2 linked regions of the Mus musculus genome follow. The protein of the gene in region 1 purifies or fractionates together with the protein of each later gene. This does not show direct contact. Links are inferred from orthologs where the notes say so. Each region holds a gene or a part of one and is shown on either strand. Other genes may lie near its edges.

Region 1 (15,742 bases):
CGTTACCAGGCGGCGTGGAGGAACATGCAGTGGGGCCTCTGCGCTTCTGCCGGGTGGGAGAAATGGACTTTCCAAAGCACAGCCCTTCCCCAGGGGTCTTTCTCTGACTCTGAAACTGCACATTTGATTGCTTTCTCTTATCTGTGAATATTAACATGTTGGTTTTTCTTGTTTAATATATTTCACAGACAGTATGGCCTGACTTCTTATTTAAGATACAGTAGGCAGTTACCACAACGAAGCTTGAATTACATTCTTTTTTTTTTCTCATTAGAGAAATTATATCCCCTGCTTCAAGCATTTTGAAGATAGACATTTAAAAAATGTCTTTTCCTATGAGAATATTGTATGTTGGATTGAGGAATCTAAAGACAAGTGTAGGCCTTCTCCCTTGCACTACTTGCTGCATTGTAGTCATATGCACTTTTATTGGCTGGGTGATAAAATAAGTTACCCTTGTTAATATTTTGTTGCTGCTGTTGTTGTTGCTGTTAGAAAGCAGTACTAGGCCCAGAAGTAATGATGCACACCTTTAGTCCAGCACTCAAGGAATCAGAAGCAGGTGGATCTTTGGGCTTGATGATAGCCATGTCTACACAGTGAGTACTTGGCTAGCCAGGGCTACACAGGATACAGTGCCTTAAAAACAAATAGATAACCAGGCATCTTAAGATGTATTGATAAACCAAGTTATGCTAGAAGGTAAAAGTTTTAACCAGTTTGTCAAATCACTATATTTTTAAAATGATAACCAGAACACCTAGGGTACTGAAGGATTTAATAACTACATAAAAATCTTTTAATGATATAACACTGAAAAAGTAAGTCATTTTAATTATCTTAATGGAAAAATATTTTCATATATTGGAGTATTTATCAAATTCTATTAAAGGAATGGTATAAAAGCAGAGTTTTTTTTTTTAAAGATTTATTTATTTATTATAAGTAAGTACACTGTAGCTGTCTTCAGACACACCAGAAGAGGGCATCAGATCTCATTACGAATGGTTGTGAGCCACCATGTGGTTGCTGGGATTTGAACTCAGGACCTTTGGAAGAGCAGTCAGTGCTCTCAACCGCTGAGCCATCTCGCCAGATCCAGAGTTATTTATATGTAGATGAGTTTGTTTCAGGACAGAGTTCCTCTGTGTAATCCTGGCTGTCCCAGAATTCACTCTGTAGACCAGAGGTAGAGCTCCTACTTCTGCCTCTTGAGTGCTGGCACTAAAGGCACTGCCGCCACCTCTCAGCTGTTCTCATGTTTTCAATATTCATCTTACATATAAGATTGGGAACCAAACAGAATTTCTAAGGTTATTTTTTTTCTTTAAAGAATTTAAATGGCCTATAAAATTCTTTCCTTTTCCTACTGCTTTGTTTTATTTTGTTATTTGCTTGTTTGTTTAGATTTTACTATGCAACCATGGCTGGCCTTGAGCTCACTAAGATCCATCTGCCTCTGCCTACCAATTACCAGCTACATGTTTTTCTTAATTTCTGCAAATTTTTATGAGAAATCTTAATTTTAGTTCTCAATGTTGTCCTTTGAGTTAGTTAGTTAGTTACCATGACTGTCTCGGAACTTTCTGTTTTTAAATTTGTTTTTTAATCATGTCACAGCCAAGAAGTAGAAGGAACCAGTTACCATGAATCGTTGTATAATGCTCTGCAGTGTCTAAGAAACAGAGAATTCTCCACATTTTATGAAAGTCTCCGATATGCCAGGTATTATAAAAAGACAAATTGTTTTTATATTTAATGCTGTGGCTGCTATCCTCAAAATGAGTAGTTTTAATGTAAGCATTTGCATCGATGAAGGGATGAAGGCTTGGTGGCTGTGTTCAGATATTTGTCATCCTTTGCTCTCAAGAAATACTTTCTTCAGGACCTATGTCAGCTCTTCAGTCTGAGCCCTCAGGGAAAGTGTGATAGTGTTCTCTTTTCGTTCAGGTATCCTAAAAGAGTTGACTTTTGTCTTTTCTAGTTTCATAGCCTTCACTCTCTTACTGTCATAGCTCTACTTTCTAAAATAGGTTTCTTTGAGGCATACATGAAATGATATATGATGTAGCAATTATCTGCAACAAGTTAAAGAAACATTAATTTTTTTAAAAGATTTATTTATTTTTTATATGCAGTGATGTTTTTGCCTACATATATGTCTGTGTCAGATCCTTAGGAACTGGAGTTACGGACAGTTCTAAGCCACCATGTAGGTGCTAGGAATTGAACCCTGGTCCTCTTGGAAGAGCAGCCAGTGTGCTTAACCACTGAGCCATCTATCTAGCCCCCAAACATGAATATTTTAAACACTAGCCACTGACATCACAAATCCTATACATATTGTTTGGTTTTAGACCCCAGAACAGGGGACTGCAGTGCATATTTTACACACCAAAGCAGACCTGGCCTCCATGTTCTCCCAGCATCCCTCAGTTCCTGCCTGGAATGCCCTGCCCCGAATCCTGAACTTTTCAGCCTAGGGGCTGGGCTGCCCTTTCTCCATAGGATCCTCCCTATATAATCCAGGCATTTTGGTTTCTTTTTTTCTTCTCCTCTTCTCTGTCTGTGAGCTTGTCCCTTTCTCTCTGTCTCTCCCTCCCCTACCCCTTCCCAGTGGTGACTTTCCCAGCCTTGGACCTTGGGGCTAGTGAACTCGGCCACCAGAGAGCTGCTTCCCAATAAGCCTGCCTTTAATATAATCTAATCTGGCCTGAATTGGCTCATTCACCAGTGATGGAGAAATAACCTATGACAGATGGCAGAAATAATATTTCTACTTTTAACGTGATTGTATTCTAGACCTTTTGTCAGGCTCTTTCTATACATACTCTTTAACTCTAAAGGTGGAAAACAATAGCTGTGGCAAGATTTGGTAGCAGGTTCAAAGCCAGACAGACATGGCAGAACTGGGCTTTACACTTAGAACTGTATAATCCCAAGGCTGGTCACACTGCTGTTTCACCACTGTGTTTGTGTGTGTGTGTGTGTGTGTGTGTGTGTGTGTGTGTGTGTGTGTGTGTGTAGTCTTTACTGCTGTTTCACCAGAGTCTCTCTCTCTCTCTCTGTGTGTGTGTGTGTGTAGTCTTTTCAGGTCAGCAACAAGTGTATGACAAGTATTGCTCAGCCATAGAATTGAACCTCTATCTCCCTGAGGACGTGTCAGTTTCAGATGATCTGCTCTCTTACCCCTAGGGTGAAAGAAGTTGAAGAGTTGAGTAAGGGCAGCCTTGAGTCTGTATATTCGCTGTATCCCACACTTAGTAGATTGCAGGCAATTGGAGAACTGGAAAACAGTGGCGAGCTTTTCTCAAGGTAGGTGGCTTGCGGGTTTTGCTAATCCTGAAGCGTGTTGCTTGTTGTGTGTTGTGTGTCAGCAATGGAAACATGTGATGGGCATGATTGATTATTATTTGCTTTGTTAAGAAAGGTTTATGTGGGCTCATGGCTTCCAAAGGTTTCAGCCTGTGATTAGCGGCTTCTGTGTTGGCCTGAATGAGAGGTTGTATTGATGGCACACAGCAGGAGGGAAGGGGAGATCTGTTATAAAATAAACTGGATAAATTTATTAATGTGTGTGTAGTAAACACATTCTAGACATTTACCAACTGAGAAATGTAATGCCAGTAGGTATAACCTAAGAATTGAAATCGAAGCTCTTCAGAACCTTAATTTTAAGAGTATATAGAGATGCCTTTGTCTAAAATACTGTAGATCTGTTGTTCTGGGGTCGTTTGTGACAGAAGTAGAAGCTTGGTTTTGATGAACATGCACAAGCAACTGAAATGATTTCTCATCTTTACTTCATTATTCTCTTAGTCTCACTGGATCTTTTTTTTCTCCCTCTCAACACAAGTCCTGAAAGATGGGATAGTGTAACATATTTTAGGCATGTGAAAGGCAAAGTATTCATACAAATGAGTTGTTTTCTGTTTAATAATGTTAGCAGATGAAATGTTTTCAAGTGCCCGTTGTTTGTTCAATGAACTGATTTTTTTGACAGCTATGTATAGTGTCATTTGTAGGTAATTAATGAAAATTAATTGATTTCCTTGTAGATATGTCTGCTTTCACCACAATGAGGACTAGCAGAGTAGACGTGTCTTTATGATAGGTCTGAATGCAGCATTCTCGTTTCTGAACAAAATCTGTTTAAAGGCTACCTTTTAAAGTACCCATTATCTGTAACTACATGTAACTTTGCACTGTCCTAAGTATTTTTCATTTGCTCAACTAAGTTATGTGACTTGACTTTCAGGTCAGTCACAGACAGAGAGCGCTCTGAAGCATACTGGAAGTGGCAGAAGCACTCCCAGCTTCTGAAAGACAGCGACTTCAGCTTTCAGGAGCCTCTCATGGCTCTGCGCACAGTCATTCTGGAGACCCTGGTACAGAAGGAAATGGAGCGCTCTCAAGGAGCATGCTCTAAGGACATTCTCACCAAACACCTCGTTGAATTCTCTGTTCTGGCTCGAACCTTCAAGAACACACAGGTAAAAAGCTTATATTTATGTTACCTCACTTCTTGGGCTTTTTTTATTACTCAGATACCAGAAGGTATAATGATGTGAAGAAGAAATATCACTGAAAATTGGAAATCGTTGTATATAAAGTTATTGAAGATTTTAGGTTGACTGGGGCTTGTACTTAACTTACAATCCTAGTCACTTGAGAGGTTGAGGTAAGAGGATCACAAGTTCAGAGCCTACTTGCGAAAGACAATGAGTTCATGGTCCCCTTGAAAAACCTAGTGGGACCTGTCTTCAATGTATAAAAGGGTTGGGACTATGGATGTATGATAGCACGCTTCTTTGCATAGCTAATACAACAAGGCTCTGGGATCAAACCCCAGTATCGAGTGAGAAAACAAAACAAAGCTTTCATACTGGAATTAGACAAAAACTTGAGTTTAAACATTGGCAAGGCAATAATTATCATTTCTCGCCCCCAATTTCCTGGTTATAAAATAAGATTCCCAAACTACTATAATGTAATGGTAACAATTCAGTGATCTCTCTCTCTCTCTCTCTCTCTCTCTCTCCCTCTCTCTCTCTCTCTCTCACACACACACACACACACACACACACACACACACACACTTGTCAGACTTTGTGGTCTGCAGGTTGGTAAGTAAGCAGGAAACTAATTAAGATAGTCTCTGAAAAATGAGGTTCTCAGTGGATATCTTACCAGTAAATGTATTTATTTCCATATGCATTTTCACTGTAGCTCCCTGAAAGAGCAATATTCAAAATTAAGCAATATAATTCAGCTATTTGTGGAATTTCTGAGTGGCATTTGGAAGAAGCACAAGTATTCTGGGCAAAAAAGGAGCAGAGTCTTGCTCTGAGTATTCTCAAGCAGATGATCAAGAAGTTGGACTCCAGCTTTAAAGATAAAGAGGTATGTATGTGCTTTGTGTGCACGTCGGTGGGGTGGCTGCATCCGTGATTGAATGTTGTCAGAAAGCATTTCTGCTTCAGAATATGTCTGTAATGACTACATTAAGGTTTTGAAATTACGGGTCCATAAATAAAATAATATGAAAAGAGACTTTGAAGATTAATGTCAGAAATGAGACTTGAAAACTTTCTTATTTAAAACAAATCTATCAGTCTGTCTTGTAGTATATTCATTCAGTTTTTCCAGAAGTCAAAAATAATATGTAGGAAATAAATGGAAATACATGTTATAACTTTGAAGTAGCAAGGACAAAAATAGAATTAGAAATGTCTGAGAGAAGAAAAGTAGGAAACAAGTTACAACAATTTGTCATTCTTAAAGTGTTTTTTTTTTTAAGGTTTATTTATTTATTTATTTATTTTTTAAGATGATGATAATTTTTTTAAAGATTTATTTATTTATTTATTATATGTAAGTACACTGTAGCTATCTTCAGACACTCCAGAAGAGGGCGTCAGATCTTGTTACAGATGGTTGTGAGCCACCATGTGGTTGCTGGGATTTGAACTCCGGACCTTCGGAAGAGCAGTCGGGTGCTCTTACCCACTGAGCCATTTCACCAGCCCCCAGGTTTATTTATTTTATTTATATGAGTACACTGTCGCTGTCTTCAGACACACCAGAAGAGGGCATCGAATCCCATTACAGATGGTTGTGAGCCACCGTGTGGTTGCTGGGAATTGAACTTAGAGGACCTCTGGAAGAGCAGTCAGTGCTCTTAACCCCTGAGCCATCTCTCCAGCCCATAATTTGTCATTCTTAGTGCTCTGAAAATATCACATCCAGTGGACAGGACACTGCAGGGTCATGAAATATTAATTATAACAAAGCATTAGGTGCCAGTAGAATTTGCTTAAATATCTCCTAAATCGTATAGTCCCTAACATATGTGGTAGTTTTATACCTCATTTTTTGCATGGACAAATAGGTAATAATGATATATCTAATTTATAGTATTCCTGTGAAAATTATGCATTAATATATATAAAGCTATTGGAAAATTCCTGGCATTTTAAAATAATAATTAATAGTATTAATAGTAATAGCAAATTGTTAGTAATAATAATAACAACAACAACAATAACTAGACAGTTCACAGTGGTTGTTTCATGAACTGGCATACTTAGAATTATTTATACGGTAAAAGTATGAGGAAAATATTTTTAATTGTTTTTTTTTCTATCTACATGGAAGATACTTTTGTAATCTTGAAAAGGAATTACATTTTAAGTTTTTTGCTTCTTGATACAGAATGATGCAGGTCTCAAAGTCATATACGCAGAGTGTCTGAGGGTTTGTGGCAGCTGGCTGGCAGAAACTTGCTTAGAAAACCCTGCAGTCATCATGCAGACCTATCTAGAAAAGGTAGGTTGTTGGCACAGCTCTGAACATTATTGTTTAGTATAACTATACTTGATCCTTTTATGAAGACCATGTGTATCTTAAAAGCAAACGCAAGTGTGGTTTCAATCCTTCAGCTCCTGCTGGGGCTCTGTAATCCGTTAGAGCAGAAAGAAGCAAAATGCCACAGAGGGAGGAACAGCTTTGAATGCATGAATGTCTTCCGTCCACTCTTTATACCCACCCCTAGCGTTCAAGAAGTCATTTCTGATTACTCTGCTTTTATTCTACAAAATGTCCTATTAAACATAGAAGCCATCATTGCTATTTGTCCAACTACTTACGGTAAGGGTTAGGACTTCACTTCTATAATCCCCATTGGCCTTCCTGTTTCTCCTTCTTTGTCCTTTAGTCTCACTAATTTGGGAAATAGGAAGTTCAGTATGAAAAGTAAGATATAAATGTCGGGCTGGAGAGATGGCTTAGCCATTATTATATCATAAACATAAGATATAAATGTCTTTGATACTAAAGAGTTCTTTTTTGCACAGTTCATTGCAGCTGTTACCTGATAAGGTTCCATGCCATTAAGTTTCACATTTACATAGATTTGAGTGGGCTACCTTGGTCTGAGAGTCTTTAGCTATATCTATGCATGTAAATATGATCTTAATGGATTGTGTGTTGTTGAAGGCGGTGAAGGTTGCTGGAAGTTACGATGGCAACAGCAGAGAGCTCAGAAATGGACAGATGAAGGCCTTTCTCTCGTTGGCAAGGTTCTCTGATACTCAGTACCAGAGAATTGAAAACTACATGAAGTCATCAGAATTTGAAAACAAGCAAACTCTCTTAAAAAGAGCCAAAGAGGAAGTGGGCCTTCTAAGGGAACATAAAATTCAGACCAACAGGTAACTTTTAGCTGACGGTTTATGTTCGGCTGAGGGGCTGCTGACGTGAAAACTGCCCTGACCTTGTCATCTGAATTATAGTTTTGAAAACTTAGCTTTTTAATAGGCTTTCTCAGTCCTCTAGTGGCTAATCACAACTTCAGTCAGTTAATACACTGACATGTTCTTCTATGAATAATTAATGTCTTGGTTTAGCTCTTGGCAGAGTACGTGGATGTTAGTTTGGTTTTACTAGAAGCTGACATTAAGTATAGCAGACTTGCCTACTTTGATATTGTCACAGTACTTCTAAGTCTGCATTGGGTTTTTGTATGTTTGGAGTAAGCAGAGGATTAACTTAGAGTCCACCCTGTCCTTGGGTGTGTGGAAGACCTATTAATTGCAGGTGTGACAAGTCCTTTTATTATATTTAGAATTTTTTTTGGAGTGAACACCTTGTATTTCATTGATGTTGTCTTATCATGTATGATTTTATAGTTATGTAAAGGTTTGTGACTGTTATGTTTGAATTTATCAAGATACACAGTAAAGGTTCAGCGAGAACTGGAGCTGGACGAATGTGCTCTCCGTGCACTGAGAGAGGATCGCAAGCGCTTCCTGTGTAAAGCAGTGGAGAACTACATCAACTGCTTACTAAGCGGGGAAGAACATGATCTGTGGGTGTTCCGGCTTTGCTCCCTCTGGCTTGAAAATTCTGGAGTTTCTGAAGTCAATGGCATGATGAAGGCAAGTCTTACCCAACCCAGCATTTGAGCATACACTTTAAAAACTGAGGCCTAAGCCCCTGCAGTGTGGGATTTTGCACATCCCTGTGTACCCCTCCTAATGGGTTTGGTGCTCCATAAATAAGTACTTTATAAACTCTCAGTGATACAAGTGTGTGTGGAGGCGAGAGAATTTCTGTAGGTGTTTTACCTCTGCAGATAACACAGAGGAGTCCATAGGGGGGAATGCTAGACTGGAGAATAGGAAACATAAAAATAATGTGATGCTAAGCAAGAATTTTCCTTTGTTTTATTTGTGCTTTTGAGGGATTTTTTTTCCTAATACAGTCCTTTTACAAATAAAAAAAATTCATAACATGTACAGGAGTACTTGAAAGTTTTCATTGAAAAAATATCTTAAGATGTGGTCATAAAATAAATATATAAACTAAGTATATATTTAGTTTAAAGGTTAAAGATAAAATGTTTCTCCAGAATGAAAAGAATGGTAAGACTCAAAATCAACAAAACCAGTCTTTTCTACTGTATGTGTTAAACCTCATTACTTCTGGCATGTAGGGAAAAGAACTTGATTTTGTTACCCCCCCCCCACCCCATCCCCCGACTTCTTGGGAGTTGAGACCACAGTAGACTCAGATTCGTATCTATCCTCCTTGGAGTCACTGGACTGGATGTGGGGTTAGCATACCAGCTCTGGATGCAGTGTGACTTAGGGCTAAGGATTTTTGTTATCACTGAATCACTAGGTAAATTTTATTATCACCGAGGCGTCGAATTAGAAAGACTTTCAGATAGGCCAAGAGGTAAGGGAAATTGCCTAGTTAGTAAAGTTTTGACAGCCACTAGGGTGTACTAGTGGAGGATCATTATTTTAGGTACCATAGATATAAGATTATATTACAAACATGTTTCTATATTTTGTATTTTTTTTAATGGCAGAAAGATGGAATGAAGATTTCATCCTATAAGTTTTTGCCTCTCATGTATCAATTGGCTGCTCGAATGGGGACCAAAATGACGGGAGGCCTAGGATTTCACGAAGTCCTCAATAATGTAAGTATACTTGAAGTCAAAATGTAATAACTACCTTTTATGTTAGTAAACATGTGAAATCAAAATATTAAACTTTCTCTTTCATTGCAGATAAGCTTGTCTCTTATTTCTGACATTCCTCTATAGCTCTCTCTCACAGATATACACACCCACTACTTACTATACAATGATGACATTAACTTGAACTTGATGTAAAGTAAAATTAAAAATGTATATTTAAGGTTTTTTTCTATTTGCACGAAACTAATAGTTACTACTTTTCTGATAGCTAATCTCTAGGATTTCACTGGATCACCCCCATCATACTTTGTTCATTATACTGGCCTTAGCAAATGCGAACAAAGATGAATTTTTGAGCAAACCAGAGACAACAAGAAGGAGTCGAATAACCAAAAGTACATCTAAAGAAAACTCTCACCTTGATGAGGTATTTGGGTAAATGCAAGTACCCTTTTGTGTTGTGATGGTCATTCTTCCCCAGAATATTCCTTTTTTAATTCTCAGAGACTTTAAGAATGTATGTTTCTGGTAGTATTCTATATCCTTTATTATGATGATGCCACCCAGAATTGGTTAACAATTTCTAAGCTGGTATTTTAAAATACCAGTTTGATTTTGTTTTCTGGCAGCAATGGGCAAAGAAAAAGCAGATCTTTAAAATGATTTATTTGTAACATTCATGAGTGGTTCTCTGCACCATATGTACATCTGGCCCCTACAGAAGCCAGGAGAGGGTTTTGGATGTCCCTGGACCTGGGGTTGCCATGTAGGTTCTGAGAACCAAACCATGGTCCTCCCAAAGAGCAGCAAGTGCTCTTAACCACTGAACCATCTCTCTAGGCCCAGAAAAACAGATTTTTGAAAAGTACCCAAGTCATTAACCTTGAATTTTTTTATGTGTGTATTTCATTCCCTGAGTGGGTGTTTTGTTTGCATCTGAGGAATTATAGTCCTTTCGTTGTCTAGATCTGTGCATGGATTCTCTTTGTATAGCTCCAAGAAACTTAAATGTTTAGTGGGTCTTGTTCTTTGTTGTTGATGGTAGGATCGAACAGAGGCTGCAACCAGAATCATCCACTCCATCAGAAGTAAGCGATGTAAGATGGTGAAGGACATGGAGGCGCTCTGCGATGCCTACATCATCTTGGCAAACATGGACGCCTCTCAGTGGAGGGCTCAGAGAAGTATGTGTGAAAGTACCACTGCCGCTGTCCAGCTTGACCTGCAGTGATAGTCCTCCGTTTACAGCTGTCACTAAAATCTATTTATTTTTAACGTAGAAGGCATCAATATTCCAGCCAACCAGCCAATCACTAAACTGAAGAATTTAGAAGATGTTGTTGTTCCCACTATGGAAATTAAGGTAATTTACTATTAACTCTTGATTTTTTTTTAAAGATTTATTTATTTATCATATCTAAGTACACTGTAGCTGTCTTCAGACACTCCAGAAGACGGTTAACTCTTGATTTTTAATAAGACTAAATTACGGGCTGGTGAGATGGCTCAGTGGGTAAGAGCACCCGACTGCTCTTCCGAAGGTCCGGAGTTCAAATCCCAGCAACCACATGGTGGCTCACAACCATCTGTAACAAGATCTGACTCCCTCTTCTGGCCTGTCTGCAGACAACTACAGTGTACTTACATATAATAAATAAATAAATCTTTAAAAAAAAATAAGACTAAATTACACATTAGTAGATTAAATTATTTGTAGATTTTTTTTCAGTCCAAATGGCTAATTATTGTAGTTTCATATCTTTCTACCTATAGGTTGTCCATTAGATTTTTTTCTTTCTTTTTTTCTCCCTTCCCCCACCTCTCTCTCTCTCCCTTCCTCCCTTCCTCCCTCCCTCCCTCCCTCCCTCCCTTCTTTTCTTTCCTGTTATCTCTTATTGTTATTTTAACTCTAGGGACTGAACCTATTATGCACTGGGGAAGCCTTTTTTATACGTTTAAGGCAGGGTCTCACTTTGTTGACTATGAACCTGCTCTGTAATTGAAGCAAGACTAGAACTTGACCATCCTCCTCTCTGTCTTTTGAGTACCTGGGACTACAGACCTGTGTCCCGTTCACTGTTTTTCTCTGTATTATTCTTTCTCAGTGTGTGGGTGTGTTTCATGCCCATGGTGATGGAACACTCTACCTCTGGTTTGCGGGTGGGCAACACCACTCCATCATTTTTGTTGTCGCCGTTTTGGTTTTTAGTCATTCAGTATGCACTGGGATGTATTGGCTGTGATGTAACTATATTATTTAGTAAAACAGTAGGTGTTATGGTACCTCTAAGTTGCTGTGTATACGTACTAAACACCTATTCATAGTGATCTTTTATTCCTAGAAGTACCATGTGGGCAGGATGTGTGTAACACTAAAGGTTACCATTTTAGAAGCTGATGCGTTAGGTCCATGGTACAGCTCTCTTTCTCCTTCCAATGTGTACACTAAGATTAGTGTTCTTGTTACTGAGTTTGACCCATTATTGCATCATGCAGGTTAACAGATACAGGCTATGTGGTTTAGCTGAATATTTCCTCTTTTAAAATTTTACATGATACTCTTGTGAATTAAATAATTCCTTAGATTTTTTTCAACATATGTAAATAACAACTAAGTTCTAGTTTTCAGTAGTTTTTCAGCAGTACTATTTAATTGACTTAAAATGCTGAAGATTTATGAAAAGATGTTTAAGAAAGTAAACTGTGTTATATGTAATTTTAAAAATCTGGGCAGCAAGTAAAGACACTTGCTGCCAATCATTTAAACCAGAGCTCTGCCTGGGTACCAGCATGGTGACACATATGTGTGGTCACCCAAATACACACACATACACACCAAGTAAATAAGCAAACGTAATAAAAATCTATCAGTGTCATTAATTCTAACTTGAATTAAACAAATTAGAAATTAGAAACCCAGCTGTTAATTAGCAGAGTTATCATTTGTGGTTGTTTACTGTTTATCATTAGTTATTCTCCTGTTTTGTTTGTCTGACCTATAATAATTATTTATCATCATTTATTAGGTTGATCCCACAGGAGAGTATGAAAATCTGGTGACTATAAAATCATTTAAAACAGAATTTCGCTTAGCTGGAGGCTTAAATTTACCCAAAATAATAGATTGTGTGGGTTCTGATGGCAAGGAAAGGAGACAGCTTGTGAAGGTAAGACTTCCTGTTTCTGGTATAGTCTTCAGAGGATTAATGCCATCAACATCAACAGCAGGATATTTAATTCTTACCTCATTTGGTTGTCTGGATCTAGCTTTATCCTGAATAATGACAGGTAGAAAACATTTTTGAAGTAGAAATACAGTGTGATAGAATCAAACTGCTTTTTAGAATTGTGTGTCTTCTCTGAAAGACTGTAATTTTTGTTTTTGTGTCCTGCTATTATGGATTAGAACCAGGGCCTCGCTCATGCTCATCTGCTTCTGAGTTACATCCCAGCTCTCCTTTAGGTTTTATTTGACACAGGGTCTTGCTAAGCTCCCTGGGCGGGGCTTGAATTTAAGACCCTCTTACCTGAGCCTCTGGAGAAGCTGAGACTGTAAGTCGGCAGTACTGGGCTTAGCAGGCTCTTGCACAGTTGATTCAAGAGAAAGAATTGCACACGCTATGAGCTTACTTGTAAAAAAGGCTTATGGTGGGGATTAGAACAATTTAAGGCCTGTACTCAATATCCCGGGCCTGACACAGTGCCACTTGCTCCTGAGAAGTAGCAGCACTCCCTGCTTTGCATTGCTGCTTAGGTGCTTTTGGAGTCTTGCTGAAAATAGAAGAGAAATGAAAGATTACTTTATTTGGGTGTTTTGTATTGTGCCTTCAGTTGAAGGAGTTAGTTTAGTTATTAGAGAAGCAGCTAAGAGGAACTTGGCCTTTGTATCAATCTGCTTCCCAGTTTCATAGGTTTTGTTTTTTTTTTTTTTTCTAAGTGAAAAATGACAGTAGGTATTAATTATTCAAGACATTCTGAAGATGAGTGTAGAAACTCAGATTGACTAGTTCTGCCTTTTCTTAGATGACTCTGTGCTTATAATAAAGTAAACTCTGCCTGTTCATGTCTGGTTGTTCTGAAGGGCCGTGATGACCTGAGGCAAGATGCTGTCATGCAGCAGGTCTTCCAGATGTGCAATACACTACTGCAGAGAAACACTGAGACTAGAAAGAGGAAACTGACTATCTGCACATACAAGGTAACTTGTGGTCCTGCAAGGTAGCTTGTGTTCTGCAGCTTGCCCAAGGAAGGTGCACTGTTTGGACCAAGAATGAGCATATGTTTTCTGTAAAAGAACAACTAGTAAATATTTTAGACTTTGAGGACCATTCAGGTCTTTTGTATATTGTTTAATTTTTACTTATGACTTTTTAAAATCTCTGTCATCTTTTGCTCACAAGCTGTACAGAAATAGACTGATACTGGTTTTGCTTCAGAGGCTATGGATTGCCACTCTCAGGTTGGACAACACAACTTTAATTTTCATTTTAGTATTATTTAATGTTGGCTGCCATTAGACATTTTCTACAGTCAACAGCAATAGTCTCCCTTTATTGTGGTAAGTAATGTGCTGTAGGGATTATGCTGCTGCTTATCTGTGCATGGTTCATTTTGGTTATTTCTGGGCTTGTGTTACTGCACACGGTGATACTCTGCACTGAACAGATGAAGTGAGCATGCATGCTTCGTTCATTTCACATTCTGGTCAATCTATTGGAAAGATTTTCAGAAATTGGATTGCTAAGTGAGAGGACACTGCAACCTTCATTTGGTAGATTTTACTGTAGGACAGTCAATGGAGTTAGACCCATTTCCATTTTCTCCACAGTTCACTTGAGAAATCCTCGGGTCCTGTTATTCTATCATTAGCTGATCTTTTTTCCTAAGAGGTGAAGGTTTGTCCTTTTCCGGCTTTGTTCCCACATTCTCTTCCCCATCTCCATCCTCTGTCACTGCTGTCTCAGGGCTTCTTGCTGCTTATCTTTCCCCAGGAAGATAGGAACAAACTGAAAAGCATTTAATTCACGTCTAGTTGAGAACCAGCTCTTTTTAGAACAGTCTCAGTGGCTGTTTCTTTATTTTCAGAAGGGTAAACTCTGCAACTATTTTCTCTAGACACTCAAATATTTTACTAGAAGATAAACACTAGTAAAATATTTTAAAGTGCATTGGAAAAGTGTTCCCTTCACAACAGTTAAAGAGTATGTATCATCATGTTCACTGCAGCAGCACAGATTCTAAAATTGGACCAGTACAAAGAAAATTATCGTGGTCCCTATATAAGAAGAGGGAAAAGGTAGTATGTATTATGGAGTGTTGGGACCCCACTTGAGGTTTAGAAATAAAGAAGCTGAGATATCTGTATAGTTGAAGGCTCTTGGCTTTTTTGCTGGGGCAGTCTCTCAGCTAGCTTCTAACTTAACCTGACTGCCATCCTGTCCAGCCATGTGGCGAGCTCTCTCTTTCTCTCATCTCTCTCTTTACATCCCTGCTTCATTTTTGTCCATGATTCTGTCTTTCTGCCAAGACGTTCTGCTTTCTTCTGCCCCGTCTCCAGCCACCAGCTCTTTATTTAGCAAAAGTCACATTTCTTTCTCCTATCAAAAGCTGCTAGCACAGTGGGAGAGGTCCCACAGCTTCCCCCCGCTGAGCAGAGCAGCAGGACTACACCACGTTCATAGGGTGGTGTCCTTTTGGCCAGATTGAAGGCGGTGTCACCTTCCATGGCCTCCTCCATGGCAGCTTGCTTTTTATCATGACAGTCTTAGGGAATCCTCTTTGGTGCAGGTGAGGAAGTGACAAACATTTACTTACAGAAATCAGGTAATGCACCATAGAAATGACAATACCAAATATCCTGCCAGCACTTGGCACTGCTGGCACAGCAATTGACAATTGAAAATACAAGGGCCACATTTACAACACCATTTGATACAGTATGTGTAGGTGCAGACCATCCCTATGTAACATGAATAAACTGCCTAGGAGTGGTGTTGACAAGTACAGGAGTGGATTTTAAAAATTAGGAAAATAGAACATGTAAACACAAACTTTGATTTGTCTTAAATGGGATAGCATTGAAAAATATCTGCTTATTTGAAAATAATGTGTGATAGTAAAATTTCAATAAAAATTTTTAAAATAAGTATTGAATGCTTGCCTATCAGGTATAAGGCCCAGAGTTCAATATCCCACACTGAGGTGCGGTGTGGATGGGACTGGAGGAAGTCAGAATACAGAATAAGCCTTAAA
Region 2 (15,471 bases), about 9.1 Mb from region 1:
ACTTTGGCAATACAACCATCGTGGTGCCCAAGCCCTTCCGCTGGATTCTGGGCCTGCATTTGGACTTGGGTGAGTAACCTTGCCACTACTGCCCCTGTGGCACCTACTTTCTGGTACCCTTGCCTCTGAGGTCCCAATAGAGGACCCCTCCTGGTGGTCCATATCCCCATCAACCATTTCTTTTCTGTCCTTGTATCTACTTTCTCTCTTTTCCCTCCTTCTTCCCTATCTCTTATTTCCTTCCTGTTTCAAGGAAGTCATGCTTGCACTAAGACTTATTATCAAAGCTTTTCCTGTCTCTGTTTTGTATTTAAAACAAAAACAAAAACAAAAAAACAAAACAGGGTCATAGGGCTGATGAGATGGCTTAGCGGGTAAGAGCACTGACTGCTCTTCCGAAGGTTTGGAGTTCAAATCCCAGCAATCACATGGTGGCTCACAACCACCTGTAATGAGATCTGACACCATCTTCTGGTGTGTCTGAAGACAGCTACAGTGTACTTATCTTTGGGCCATAGCAAGCAGGGACTGAGGGAACAGGGTTGACCTGAGAGAGCAGAGGTCCTAAGTTCAATTCCCAACAACCAGATGAAGGCTCACAACTATCTGTACAGCTACAGTGTATACATAAAATAACAAATACATATACATAAAAATAAATAAATCTTTAAAAAACAAAACAAACAGGGTCACACACTAAATTGCCTTGAACTTATTTAGCCCTGGCAGGCCTTAAACAGGTAATCCTCCTGTCCCAGCCTTCCAAGTAGTTAGAATTATAGGCCTGAGCTACTAGACCTTGCCTATTTGGATCCTTTCTGGTGTTCCATTCATCTTGTGCTTTGTTCTGTTAACAAACAAATCCAAATCCTACTCCTCGCTGTGTCCCCCAGGGATCCTGTACTACGTCTACATGGGGCTGCTTGCAGTGTTCTGTACCAATGCCATCAACATCCTGGCGGGCATTAATGGCCTAGAGGCCGGTCAGTCACTAGTCATCTCTGCTTCTATCATTGTCTTCAACCTGGTGGAACTGGAAGGTAGGTGAGATTGGGGAGAAGGAGAAGTCTGGGTGTTAAGGGAATTGCCTGGTATGACTCTAGAGAGTTTCTTGTGTGTGTGTAAGGGGTGGGGAATGACAAGACAACAGTGATTTTAGAATGGGAGCTATTTACTTTGTACACAGCAATAAGGAATTAAGCATGAGAAACAAAAGCATTAATGCTATCATGTATAGCTTGATGGTCATGAATAGCTAGACCAATTCTTTCTTTCTTTTTTTTTTTTTTTTTTCTTTTTGGTTTTTCGAGACAGGGTTTCTCTGTGTAGCCCTGGCCGTCCTGGAACTCATTCTGTAGACCAGGCTGGCCTCGAACGCAGAAATCTGCCTGCCTCTGCCTCCCAAGTGCTGGGATTAAAGGCATGTGCCACCACTACCCGGCGACCAATTATTTCTATTGGGCATAAATAGCTTCACAGAACCCCAGCAACAGGTACGATCACTCTCTGACCATAGTGGGGAAAGACTCTTGCCTTCCTAACCCTGTCTGATTACAGATAGACCCAGAACACTTAGCAATATAAAAATGACCACAATCCCGCAGCTAACATGAGAGGGTACAGCTTTTTTCAAATAACAATTTAGTTCTTCCTGCTTCCTTTTGTTTTGTTATTTTGAGACAGTCTTGCCATGTAACCCTGGCTAGCCTCAAACTTATGATCATCCTATCTGTCTCCTAAGGGCTGGAATTGCAGGCCTGCACCACCACACCTGGCTTCCTCCTACTCTTAAAAAAAAAAAAAGTTAAGTTATTCATGTATTTGGCCTTCTGTGCTCCCAGTTTGGAGCACATGTCTACTTCCTTTCATCCCTTCCCAAATTATCCAAAACAAATTCTAAAATAAGCCCCTCATATTGAAATATTTTACGGTTCCCTCTGGTGTATGATTCCCAAAGTCTTAGTCTCTATGTAAGCCCAAGTTTGAGTATTAGTTACTTTTGGTCGTGTTGGACATCAACAAGTGCTTATTAAGCCTAAGCGCTTTGTTTTGAGACAGGGATGTACCACGTTGCCCTGGAACTCACAGAGCTCCAAGTTCTGAGAGTAAAGGGATGTGTGCCTCCCCTTGTCTCCCAGCTAAAGCTAAGCATATTTAAAGCATTATCTCATTTAAATTAAATGACTCTGTATAACTGGCAGTACCCAGTTTTTGACAGATAAATGGAAGCTTACCAAAATTCAATGTGTCATTTCACACAGCTAGGAAATAAAACTGGTATTCAATCAAATCCCAGCTGGAATTTTTAAACCACATTTAAGATAGTCACTAGGTTTTCTGTTGTTTTCTCTGTCTCTCTCTGTGTCTCTCTCTCTTCCTCTCCATACCTCTGGCTATCCTGGGACTCACAATGTAGCCCAGGCTGGTCTTACACCAGGAGATATTCCTGTGTCTTCTGAATATTAGGAGTCACTAGCCTTTTGGTTGTTTTTTTATGTTTTGTTTTTTAAAAGATTTTATGCATGTGGATGTTTTATCTACATGTACATTTATCTGTACACCAGAAGAGGTCACCAGATTCGATGAGACTACAATTATAGATGGTTGTGAGCTACCATGTGGGTGCTGAGAATTGAATAATTGAATTTAGGACCTCTGAAAGAGCAGCTAGTGCTGTTAATCATTGAGCCATCTTTCTAGTCTGTTGTTAGCTTTTTTTTTTTTTTTATAGGTCAATGAAAGTAATGAGAGTATCGGGAATGGCCTGGGTGATGTGAAAGGGGAAGTTAGAGCTGGGCACGGTGGCAAACACCTGTCATCCCAGCACATGGGAGGTGCCCGCCAGACTTGGCTACATAGGAAGTCAGGGAGCAGCAGTGGCAGGGTGGGGTAGAGTTGGTCTTGAAAGTGACTTGGGTGCTGTGTTCCTAATGGCTGGGAACATAAATTAGATACAAATGAGACCAAGGTACACAGCGGGATGCCGGTACTGACTCCCTTCTGTTTGCTTTGCTCCAAAGGTGATTATCGAGATGATCATATCTTTTCCCTTTACTTCATGATACCATTTTTCTTTACCACCTTGGGACTGCTTTACCACAACTGGTATGTAGGCCTATGGATGAGAGAGGAAATGATTGATGTATGTGGCAGAGATGGGCTTGACATAACCCAGCTTCTAATGAAGAGACTAAAATTGCTCATACTTTTGTTGGATATTCTCTGGCTCTGCCATTGGTAGTAGTTTGCCACTCTTGTGTGAGCACAAGCACTCGTCTGGTGTGTGTGTGTGTTTGTGTTTATGAACAGGGTATTAAATCTGAGGTCTTAATGCTAAGCAAGCACTTTAGATTTTAGCTGTATCCCCAGACTTTTTTTTTTTTTTTTTTTTGAGAATAGGGTTTTAGTAAGTTGCCCAGGCTGGCCTTGAACTTACGGTGTTGTCAGGCTGGCCTAGAAATACAGGCATGTGCTATTAGATCCCACCCTTCACCCCACCATCTGCACACCCTCGTGCTGGGGATCAAATCCATGACCTTGTACTCGCTAGGTGACTGCTTGCCCGGTGAGCTACAGAGCAGCCTGGTGCTGGTGTGGAATCCCTGCCTATCCTGCAGGAGTTGGGAACAAATGCTGTGTAGCCCCTAGGAGTAGATGAGTTGGGGGCCGTGGGGCCTATAGAGTTTCTGGAACAGCCTTTCTTTTAGAACTCAGGGTCAAGGCTGGCCTGTTACTCAGAGCGAGTGACTGAAAGAAAGAGTCAGTAACAACTCTTGCCATTGGCTGAAATCCTCTCTCCCACACAGGTACCCGTCCCGCGTGTTTGTGGGAGACACCTTCTGTTACTTTGCGGGCATGACTTTTGCCGTGGTGGGGATCTTGGGACACTTCAGCAAGACCATGCTGCTCTTCTTTATGCCACAAGTATTCAATTTCCTCTACTCACTGCCTCAGCTCTTCCATATCATCCCCTGCCCTCGACACCGGATGCCCAGGTAACCACTCTGGGGCTTTCAAGGGTCATAATAGTTTCTGACTTGGGATAGCTAAAGCCAACTTGCATTTCCTATGTAAAAAAAACATGAGGGGAAAGATGAGCCGACTGTATGTGGGTAGCCCATTGTAATTTACGAAGCTCGTTTACTTACATAGTATGTAATGCTTACAACAGCCCTGATCACGGAGCCAGAAACCAACTCCAGTACATAAGTACTCAGTACTCTTTTTTTTTTTTTTTTTTTTTTTTTTTTGGTTTTTCAAGACAGGGTTTCTCCTTATAGCCCTGGCTGTCCTGGAACTCACTTTGTAGACCAGGCTGGCCTTGAACTCAGAAATCCGCCTGCCTCTGCCTCCTGAGTGCTGGGATCAAAGGTGTGCGCCATCACGCCCGGCCTCAGTACTCTTCTTAGTAACCAGGGTGCAGAGGTCTCTGATTCAGTCAAATGAAATTATCTTCCCATTGCAGACTCAACGCAAAGACAGGCAAACTGGAAATGAGCTATTCCAAGTTCAAGACCAAGAACCTCTCTTTCCTGGGCACCTTTATTTTAAAGGTAACAAGGTAACAGGAGGTAAGGCCCGAGGCCGCCATCCTTAACTTGGGAAAAGAGAAACCTAGGCCTTTTCAGGCCCAAGGGGAGTTTGGGAACATCAAGAAGATCCCTATTCGTGAAGTAGATCTGCATAACTGAAGTCATCTTCACCTCTGGTCCCTGCAGGTAGCAGAGAACCTCCGGTTAGTGACAGTTCACCAAGGTGAGAGTGAGGACGGTGCCTTCACTGAGTGTAACAACATGACCCTCATCAACTTGCTACTTAAAGTCTTTGGGCCTATACATGAGAGAAACCTCACCCTGCTCCTGCTGCTCCTGCAGGTACAGCTCAGGGTGGGGCTTAGTAATGCCATGGCGTTTACATCTCTGGTTGGCCTTGCTTCTAATTCCAGTCCACTTCTCCCAGGTCCTAAGCAGCGCCGCCACCTTCTCCATTCGTTACCAACTCGTCCGACTCTTCTATGATGTCTGAGCTCCCTGACAGCTGCCCTTTACCTCACAGTCTCCATTGGACCTCAGCCAGGACCAGCCTCTGTCTGGTCCGAGATGACCCTCTGGTCCAGGCCTCGCTGACACTTTTGTTCTCAGCTTCTGCCATCTGTGACTACTGATATCCTGGATGGACACCTTGCTGGACTTGAAGTCCGCTAGTTGGACTTTGCCTAGGGCTTTCATCTTGCCTTGCCCTCCCTTTCTGTCCCATCTGCAGCCTCACCAGGTGGGCTTGTAGCCTCTATTATGCAAATATTCGTAGCTCAGCTTTCAGAGCGCTAACTCTAAAGGAATTCACCTGAGCCTTGAGAGAGAACCTGGGCTAGGGCTAGAGTTAGGGCTACATACTCCAAGGTGACCTCACATTTGACTATCAAATGAAGTGTTGTGATTGGGAAGCGTAGAGGCAGGGCCATGTGCTCAGAACGGTGACAATAAAGGACTGCCTTTTACTTGTTCCTCTAGTGTAGCATCCCCTCCCTCTGTCCTTTTTAACCTTCGTGGTGCTTCAGGAGTGAACACCGGGGCTTCCTTATACTTAACTGCTCTACCACTGAACTATATGCCAAGTCTGGTATATTTATTTTTTATATAGGCATTTTAGGATAGATTGGAAGGGTTAGACCGGGTACCTTTCCCAATAGGATACCGATCTCTGTTCCATCAGACCCTTTCTTGCAAAAAAGGCCTGTCACAAACTAAGACCAGACAGAACATGTTGAATAAATATCGCAGCACAAACTTGTGATAGCATAAAAGATCACAGTGCTCCATTTTCTGGCATAGGATTAAACTCCTAGGAGGTTTCATTTCGTTTCTTTTAAACCCTCCCTCCCTTTAATCTGCACTAGGGAGGCAGAGGCAGGCTGATCTCTGAGTTCCAGGACAGGCAGGGCTACTCAGAGAAACCCTGTCTCAAACAAACAAAAGCCAGATGGTGGTGGCGCACGCCTTTAATCCTCAGGCTTGGGAGGCAGAGGCAGGCGGATCTCTGAATTCAAGGCCAGCCTGGTCTACAGAGTGAGTTCCAGGACAGCCAGGGCTACACAGAGAAACCCTGTCTCGAAAAACAAACAAACAAACCTAAAAATAATAATGAACAAATAAACCCTCCGTCTACCAGATTAGAGGAGGGAGTGGGAAGTGCTCTAACCTGGAAGGAGAACGCTGCTTATAGTGTAGACCCTTTTCCTTTAAGACCAAAGACCGACTCAAATTTCCCAGAAACTGTAGAGGTAGCTCCAAGCTCCACCCTTCTAGTCTTCAGGTTTTGTTGTCGCGCCGTAGCGTTTAAATTTCGCGCGCTCTACACGGATTGGCCATTTCCAGGGGTGAGCAGCCTCCGGCTTGCGGCCACTCCGCCTTGTCTTCTTCCCCGGGTAAAAGGTTTTCAAATTGGACCAATCACTGGGCGCGTTCTCTCAGCTAAGGCGCGTCACCGAAGGGTTAATTGCAACCAACCAGAGGTGGGTATTAAAAAAGGAACCAATCAGGAGGAAGCGGGGGCGTGTCCAGGGAGTTTATAAGGCCGGGCTTGGCCGGCCAGGCGACCGTTGACTGCGGCGGTTGGTAGTTCGTGGTCTCTCAGCGTTGTTCGCAGCTCTTCTACCTCGTACACTATGTCCGGACGCGGCAAGACCGGCGGCAAGGCCCGCGCCAAGGCCAAGTCGCGCTCTTCACGCGCCGGCCTTCAGTTCCCTGTAGGCCGCGTACACCGGCTGCTGCGGAAAGGCCACTACGCCGAGCGCGTGGGCGCAGGCGCGCCGGTGTACCTGGCAGCGGTGCTCGAGTACCTCACTGCCGAGATCCTGGAGCTGGCGGGCAACGCGGCCCGCGACAACAAGAAGACGCGCATCATCCCGCGCCACCTGCAGCTGGCCATCCGCAACGACGAGGAGCTCAACAAGCTGCTGGGCGGCGTGACCATCGCGCAGGGCGGCGTCCTGCCCAACATCCAGGCCGTGCTGCTGCCCAAGAAGAGCAGCGCCACCGTGGGGCCCAAGGCGCCGGCGGTCGGCAAGAAGGCCTCGCAGGCCTCTCAGGAGTACTGAGGGGGCCCGCGCCGAGGCCGCCCAGCCCTCCCCACACCTCCACAAAGGCCCTTTTAAGGGCCACCACCTCCCTCACAGAAAGAGCTGAGCCACTTCGGGCTGCGGCGGCTTGCCGCGTCCCCATCCTTTCTCTTTCCCTCCTCTCCCCTCCCCGCCCTCGCGCCACTCTTCCCCTTACCCCGCACGGCCTCCGGTTCTGCCACGGAGGACGCGGGCGCCGCGGCACCTGCCCATCCCGGAGCTCGTGACATCGCTTCGCCGTTCTCGGTTGTGGACGACGGCTCCGTGCGGAGAGGCTGCGGCGCCTTCCCGGAGTCTCGGCCCCTCGCTCAGACGTCCGGCCGCGGTGGGCTTGAAGGTTAGTCCCTCCGCAGCTACAGCCCCGGCGTCTTTGCTTCAGCTTGGTGCTTAGCCCTCGCCTGGACCTTTGAAAAGTGACTTGATTGCCGGGCTTAGAGGAGGAGAAATGGATCACATTGTTTCCTTCGGTGTCACCGTTGCTGGCCTCATACCAGTTGACCCTGTCGCCATTCGTAGGCCAGTGTGGTGTGGCGGGGCCAAAAATGGTTGTAATGTGAACCCAGTTTCTCTAGGAATACCTCCCGGCAAGGGTCAGAGAGACGCTTACCGGCCTGTGGACAAGAGTTCTATACCTGCCGCAGGCGACTGGCAGCCGGGCCTAGCCATCCATCCCCTCTTCCCCAGCGACTCAACTACAACCCAAACACCTAGATACCAGCACAAGCCGGTGAATCCCTGTCTGGACTGAGCCTCTGGCTTCTGAACTGGAACTTTTGCAGCTATTACAAGTTTAGAACCTTAAGTGGGGAGATTTAATGGGCTAATTTTATTAAAGGATCGTTTGGTTTTGTTTTTTTAAAAAAGTGGTTTAATGTTGAATGCTGTAGTCCCAGGGCTGGACATATAGCTCCGTGGTAGAGCCATGTGCCTGGCACATCTTGGGAGAGAATGGGACTTCCCTTTCTGCAGGCCGTGGGAGTGGGAAAGGCTATGTAATCCACGAAGATCCCGTTGACTGAAGACAGGCTGTAGGAATTGAAGGCTGATTTTTTTTTTTTTTTTTTTTTTTTTTTTTTTTTGAGAACATGAGGCAAATCACAGCGTGTTTTACAACAGAAAGGTCTCAGACTCAATTCAAGTTTAAAAGGGCTTTGGGTTTATTCATATCTTCCCCAACTCTATCAGAAGAACCACATTCTAAACTGGTTTATTAGTGGTATTGGTTACATTCAAAGATTGGCATGGACTTTCTCTAAAGAGATGAAGCCCCCAACTACTGAGGGAAAGGCAGATATGGAGGCCCCAAGGTGAGGCATATCTTCCAAAGTGGAAGTCTCAACAACCCCGTGGTTCAATTTCCTGGGATAATCACATCCCTAGGGATGGAGCACAGGGCACTTGGAAGCCAGAAGTAGGCAGTGGAGTGGCAGCCAGGGTTCCTGTGCCCTACAGACCAGTTAGCGCACATCATTAAGCTGCCGTGCAACATCCAGGATGTTCTTGGCTCCTTTGTTGAGCAGCAAGCTGGCCAGGCTGATGCCCAGGTTCTCAGCAGCTAGCTGGGCTCCTCTTGGAATGTTACGGGCAGTGATTCCAACCAGTTGTGGGTCATCTTCTGGACCATCTTCTTGCTGGATGACAGGTTACAATTTTGGTAAGAGGAAGATTACAAGCAGTTCTATTTATTCCTTCCTCATCTCCCAGTCAATACCTGAACAGGGACCTGGATGGTGGCCTGCATAGTCTCTTGCATGCTATCTGAGCCATCTAGACTCCAGACTCCACCAGTCAGGTACAGCTAGGAAATAAAATGTTTGTACCAGGATATTTAAAGAAAGTTACTTAGATGTTTCGGTGCACATGGAAATGACAGTCCCTCCCCTCATCCATTTCCCTGGCTTACTTGCCCATCTTTCATCACTGTATGCACTGCTACGGGCACGCTGCAGCCTCCTTCCTGCAATGATATGTTCCTTTGAGCTCTAAGGGCCTTTAACACCACTTTTGACCACAGACCTCAAGGGGCCAGATCAAGGTCCTCTCCATACATACAAAACATTACATACTGAGTACTTGACAAATCTCTCTCCCTACTGCCCTTCCTGGTTTCCCCACAACACCATGGGAGGAGCCCATCTTACCAGGTGCCTCAGAAAAGCCCTTTCAGCAATGCAGCGAAGCAGAGTTTCAGGATCGTGCAACACACTCACTAGGTCCAAGATATCCTGGTCCTTGGCTCGGACTTCCACGGCTAGGGCTCCCTAAAGAACAACAGGCCTGATCTTCTCTAGTAATAGAGCTAAGCATGAGAAACACACCTCTACCTGCTTCCCTGGGTCTTATGCATAACAACCAAACCTGTCCCTCTCTAAACATCTTATTTGATGGATAGCAGGTGCCAAAGGTTATGAACCAGGTTCTCTCCAGGCAAACCTACCTGACCCACAGCATACATGCATTCTTCTGGGTGCAAAATCTGTGGAGAGAGACAAGATGGTGGGATAGGGGATGTTCAAAGGCAGTGAGCTAGGGTTTGCCAATCTAGGAAGCCTGGGGAAGGCACAGGTAGGAAGTCCAGCAATGAGTCCCAATATCCCTAGCCTGGGCTTCTGGTTGTAGTGTTGTTGGCAGAATGGTCAGGAAGAAATCAAGGCAGGAGAGAGGCAGATTCAATGGGAAGCAGAACAGGGCAGCTCCTACCTGGCCCACCCGGTTCTGCCAGCCCATGCGCTGTAGGCCAGCCACAGCCAGGACGATGGCACTGAATTCCTGCAGCTCATCCAGCTTCCGGAGGCGGGTGTTGAGGTTTCCCCGCTGTGGAGCGTTGCTAAGGAGAAGTCAAGACCTACCCAGTGCACCCTCTGCCCCACAGTCTCTTTTCCCCCCTCTAGCTAACTTTTAAAAAACTTTTGTTTTTGTTGAGTGGTGGTGTATACACCTTTAAATCCCAGCACTGGAGGCAGATACAGATCTCCATGAATTCAAGGCTAAATCTGGTCTACAGAGAGAGTTCCAGGACAGGCTGGGCTATACAGAAAAAGCCTGTCTAGAAAAATGGTAGAAATGAAAAAAAAAAAAAAAAAAAAGCTGGGCAGTGGTGACACATGCCCTTAAGCCCACAATTTGGGAGGCAGAGGTAGCCGGATTTCTGAGTTGGAGGCTAGGCTGGTCTATAAAGTGAGTTCCAGGACAGCCAGGGATATACAGAGAAACCCTGTCTCGAAAAACTAACTAACTAAATAAATAAATAATAAAATAAAAAGACTTCTTTGGAGTCGGGCGTGGTTAGAGCACGCCTTTAATCCCAGCACTCGGGAGGCAGAGGCAGATAGATTTCTGAGTTCAAGGCCAGCCTGGTCTACAAAGTGAGTTCCAGGACAGCCAGGGCTATACAGAGAAACCCTGTCTCGAAAAACCAAAACAAACAAAAAACAAAACAAAAAAAGACTTCTTTGGATAGGATCTCATAGTGTAGTCGTGGCTGTACTGGAACTTGCTCTGTAAGTTTTATTTTAGTTTTATGTGCATGGGTGTTTTGCATGCCTGTCTCCAAAGGCCAGAAGAGGGCATCAGTTCCCCTAGAACTGAAATACGAAATAGTTGTGAGCTACGGTGTGAGTGCTAGAAGTTGAACCGGGGTCTTCTGGAAAAGCAACCAGCACTTTAAACCCCTGAGCCATCTCTCTAGCCCCAGGACACACTGTTTTTAAAATTAGTTTTATGAAACATATCACATATTCACTGTAAAAACCAAAACCACTTAGCAGCACAGAAAGTAAAAGCAGAAGCGCCTCTGTCCCTGCCACCAGGAGTGGTCACCGGTCAGTATTACCTGCACTGCAGTGCCTGCCTGTCTGTCTAACATGTCAGCTCTATAGAACGAGGAACCATGTTTGTTTTGCAATTGTCCTCATTGCCAGGCCATTAAAGGGTGCCAGGCAGTGGTGGCCCACGCCTTTAATCCCAGCACTCAGGAGGCAGAGGCAGGCGGATTTCTGAGTTTGAGGCCAGCTTGGTCTACAAAGTGAGTTCCAGGACAGCCAGGGCTACACAGAGAAACCCTGTCTCAGGAAAAAAAAAAAAAAAAAAAAAGGAAAACATTAAAGGACTGTGGATGTGTGGATGGATGGATGGATGGATGGGTGGGTGGGTGGGTGGGTGGGTGGACGGACAGCTGGAAAGACGACCCCCTGACCGCATGGACCACTTGCTTCGGAAGGTCCTTCTTTCCCTCTTTTTCCCCTCCTTCTTCTGAAAGGATACAATACTCTTGAATTCCAGGTGGGGGAACTTTCTCTGTAGCTGAGCCACTCTCCTCAGAGAGCTGGTTCCCACGGCACTGCTCAGAGAGAGTTTAGAATTAAACTTAACCCAGGCTGCCAACTGTTCTCCACTGTCCAGCCCTCTCTCCCCCGCACACTAGGCCCACTCACCTTTTCTCTGGCAAGGTTTCCAGGGTCTTTCCAATAAACTTTGGGTGAAAGACAACAGCATCACAAGGGTTTTCCCGTCTGCAAAGCAAATGATGAAATAAAGGTATTAGCATTTGGAGATAAGGCTTAACTCTAGCCCAGGCTGACCTAAAATTTTCTCTGTACCCCAGGCTAGCCTTTAACTCACAATAACCCTCCTGCCTCAGCTCCCTGAATGCTGAGATTATAGGCATGAGCCACCAGGCCAAATTCATTTTATTTTCTTTGGAAAGGTTTTATATTTCTTTCTTTGTTTTTTCTTTTTTTTTTTTTTTTTGGTTTTTTTTTTGTTTGTTTGTTTGTTTTTGTTTAGTTTTGTTTTGTTTTTAAGACTGGGTTTCTCTGTATAGTCCTGGAACTCACTTTGTAGACCAGGCTGGCCTCGAACTCAGAAATCCACCTGCCTCTGGCTGCCTCCCAAGTGCTGGGATTATAGGCGTGCGCCACCACCACCCAGCAGGTTTTATATTTCATTTCCTTGATTGTTTCCATTTTCATTGATGAGATGAGGAGCATAAACATTCTACAGCATGTATGCATGAGTCAGATGACAACTTGTGGGATTCAACCCTCTTCTTTCACCAAGTGCACCCCACGGACTGAACTCAGGTCATTGGCTTGACAGCAAATGCCTTTACCACCTAAGCCACTGTAAGCCAGCCTTCTGGTGCCCCTAAGGCACAATCTAAGTTCCTCGGGCTGGTTCAAATCCCTCTGTAGCCCAGGCTGGCCCAGAATCTCTGATCCTGTCTTAGCCTCCCCAGTAGCTGGGATTTCAGGTCCGTGCCACTGAGCCCAACTCCACAAACTCTAAATAGTCAACCAATTGGCTTTCCTGCCACACTATGTCTGACAACCTTCAAAACAGAGGGCTAAGCGGTCAAGTTCCAAATGGAAAAAAAAACAAAACAAAACAAAACAAAAAAAAAAACTCAAAGATTCCCACAGTAGGATTAATCCTGCCCAGGGCCCTCCCTCCCATGCATGTCCTCCCCGCTTACTTGCAGATGGCTCCAATAGTAAAGCCAGGAGGTAGTATGGTAGGCACATCCTTCAGGGAGTGAACGACCAGGTCCACTCTGGAGACGACATGGGGAGGACACAGAGAGAGGCTTTGAGTAGGTGACCTTACCTCCACCACCCACCCCAGCATCCTTGACCGTTCAGGAAGATAGCATCTTAAGATCTAAGACCTGGTCTCTTCTCAACTACTCTACCCCATTTCCCCAGACAGTCTGATTCCCCAGGTAGTTAGGCTACTCCAAGGCAAGGCTCTCTCCTCTGTGAAAGCCTGTGAGCTCCACAGTCTAACCCGACAGTCCTGCCAATATTGGGGAGCCACTTTGGGGTTCTAGGCTCGGGGTACCACATTCCTCCATCCTCACTCACTCGTTTTTTTCCAGGGCGTTTTCTAGCTCCTTGGTAAACAGGCTCTTCTCTCCAATCTGCCAGGCAAGAGAGAGCCTCAGAGTGAACCCCTTACACGTGGGAGAGGGACAAGAAGAATGGGGACAAGGACTGGCGTTACCTTAGAGAGTGCAGTATCAAGAATCTTGTCTCCCGTGGTGGACATAGCAACTGAGGAGAGAGTCAATCAGATACCCATTAACACCTACTGAGTCACCCCTCGTTCAGGCCTTGACTGGATTCACAGTGGAGTCTGAGGCATAGAAGACCCAGCCCCTACTCTCTCAGATACACACACCGACAGAAAAAGCAGACATACTCATAAAAGAACCCAAAGCAGAAAGTATGAAATGTCAGGCTAGCCCGGGCAGCTGGAGGAGATGTGCACAGGAGACAATCTTTCTTTCCCTTCACAAGCAGCCAGAATAGTCTTACAAGGCAGGCTTTGACCACAGGCAAAGCCAGAGATGCCCTGTCCTCCGGTTCACTGGCTTCCCGTTCACTACCAATCACTCCTCTCAAGAAAACTTACTGATTTCAAACTGTATGCCAGGGTACAAGGCTTTCAGCATCGCCACCACAGTGTCGGTCTGTATGCGAGCCAGCTGGGGAAAGAGAGTCAGATGGTTTCTCACCTCCCCTGGCCACTGGCCCAGGCTCAGACCCTCATATGGACCAAGAAAGCAATGAAAGGGGTTAGACTTCTCACATGAGGCCTGCCCTGAGAGTCCCTTCTCTGTACCCCAATCATTTCCCTGCTCCAGAGACTCTCTTTTCTGTACCCCATGAAATCGACTCTCACACACTCTTATTTGCTCAATGCTAGCCTTTGGGTCCCACTAGTGACCCTGTGAGTCTCTGGGTCCCACTAGTGACCCTGTGAGCATTACAATTCTTGAGACAACGCGCTATGTCTGTACTCACCTGGCTCTTACGGGTGCCCACTCGAATCACCCTCATCTTTGAGCCGTTTTCTTCCTGCAGAAGAAAGTCCCTAGGTTACGATCTTTTCCTCATTCAAAGAACTAGGATCACAGGCTTAGGAAAGAGGACTCCCAGGTCCTAGGCAGGTGAGGCTGCTAGGAAGGAGAGACTCCCAGGACTGGTCCTTGAATCTTCCTTGGTACCTTCTGCCCTCCTACGGGATCCAGAGAAGCAAGACCAGAGGAAAAGCTGTAATAGGATCTGTTGTGGCAGCAGCAACAGGACACTGAGCCCCAAAGCCCAGCCTGGCCAAGGAGGTTCTGAGTGGGAGGGCTGCACACAGCCAGGTGGGCAAAATGATAAGGCCCATCAGCCTCGGCACAGTGAGGGTGGGCCCTGCTGGAGGGTGGGGCCTACAGAAGCTGGGGCAGGACAGCCGAAGCCTCCCATTGCTAGAGAACAAGCTCACTGTCCACAACAACTCAGGCACTTGAGAAGGCCTCACTAAGCCCTGGGTGAGTCACTAAGCATCCCTTAGTACCACCAGGATGTACTCCTAACAAGGACTGAAATCAACCAAGCTAATGTACAGCCCTTTCATGCCCTTGGCTGGGTGACTTTGGGAACATCATCCCATCAAGGGCTTGTTAAATTAAAGGCCACCTCATGCCTCAAGAAGTCCCAGAAGACTACAAGAATAAACTGCCTAACAGTCATTGCCTACTGGCTTCCTCTGGTGTCTTAAGCCAGAGCCAAGAGCTCAAAAGGACACACCTCTTTCTTTTGTTAAGGCGCCTTGGATAAAGGTGTCTAGGGCCAAGCAGGTAGAACTGGGTTCTGCAGTCTGATACAAAGGGGACAGGAGTCACTGTACAGATTGTCCCCCTTCCCTGCACCAGGTTCCTCATCTCACAGGTTCTTCTATAACCAGACACTCAAGTTCTTGGTCACTGAAGGTGAAAACTTGCTCTTGGACTCCAGTCTACTCCACTGCTGAAGATCCCTCCAACAAACGACTCTGAGATAGCCTTTGCAATTTAGCTGGGCTTGAAATAACACAGAAATTTCGGACAACAGGGAGCCCATAGAAAGGAATTGCTAAGTTCAAACAATTTGTTTTTTAATTAATTGACCCAGAACAGCATTTGAGCCGTGTCTGCATATTGTCCTTGCAACAACCCTACTAGGTTAGACAGGGTAGGTACTTCCACCCGTGTCACAGAAGCAAAGATGCAGAGTGGTCAAATTACTGTCTAAACATCTCACAGCTATGAACAGACAGAAAGTGGGTGCTGAAATCCAGGCCTTCCTACCCTAACCCTGTGCTCTAAAAATGTTTTCATAGCCAAGACTACTGCTTACTGCCTGGGCAGGAGATAAGCAGGCTTCCCAGCTCAGCCTTATCTCAGGCAGCCTGCCCACAAGTTCAGAACTTTCCAGGCAGGCCAGAAATGACAAGGCCCAGGGGTGGGTTCCCCCGCTCACAATAGCAATTCAGGTGTGTCTCTACTAGGACTTTTGTGGGTGGCTAAGGCTGGGTGACTTCATAAC

Evidence for each region.
Region 2: the proteins of Atm (region 1) and H2ax purify together in Homo sapiens (affinity purification with western blotting; 11 studies listed by BioGRID and IntAct, with this or other methods). This does not show direct contact. The link is inferred for Mus musculus from reciprocal best matches to the Homo sapiens genes ATM and H2AX.

What each region holds. Positions count from the first base shown.
Region 1 is NC_000075.6:53,448,464-53,464,205, reverse strand, and holds part of Atm (serine-protein kinase ATM), read left to right. Parts: coding exon 1-53; intron 54-1,620; coding exon 1,621-1,725; intron 1,726-3,085; exon of another isoform or gene 3,086-3,195; coding exon 3,196-3,315; intron 3,316-4,258; coding exon 4,259-4,493; intron 4,494-5,229; coding exon 5,230-5,403; intron 5,404-6,714; coding exon 6,715-6,828; intron 6,829-7,497; coding exon 7,498-7,712; intron 7,713-8,230; coding exon 8,231-8,438; intron 8,439-9,376; coding exon 9,377-9,490; intron 9,491-9,758; coding exon 9,759-9,917; exon of another isoform or gene 9,918-9,925; intron 9,926-10,535; coding exon 10,536-10,674; intron 10,675-10,770; coding exon 10,771-10,853; intron 10,854-12,516; coding exon 12,517-12,657; intron 12,658-13,571; coding exon 13,572-13,688; intron 13,689-15,742.
Region 2 is NC_000075.6:44,328,098-44,343,568, forward strand, and holds H2ax (histone H2AX), read left to right. Parts: upstream 1-6,617; 5' UTR 6,618-6,664; coding exon 6,665-7,096; 3' UTR 7,097-7,980; downstream 7,981-15,471. Other genes in the region: Dpagt1 (UDP-N-acetylglucosamine--dolichyl-phosphate N-acetylglucosaminephosphotransferase), read left to right, coding at 1-69, 894-1,040, 3,021-3,105, 3,807-3,995, 4,466-4,553, 4,719-4,874, 4,960-5,025; Hmbs (porphobilinogen deaminase), read right to left, coding at 8,575-8,748, 8,829-8,915, 9,021-9,074, 9,259-9,378, 9,555-9,593, 9,818-9,931, 11,381-11,456, 11,551-11,628 and 5 more. UniProt on the Homo sapiens protein: Variant histone H2A which replaces conventional H2A in a subset of nucleosomes. Nucleosomes wrap and compact DNA into chromatin, limiting DNA accessibility to the cellular machineries which require DNA as a template.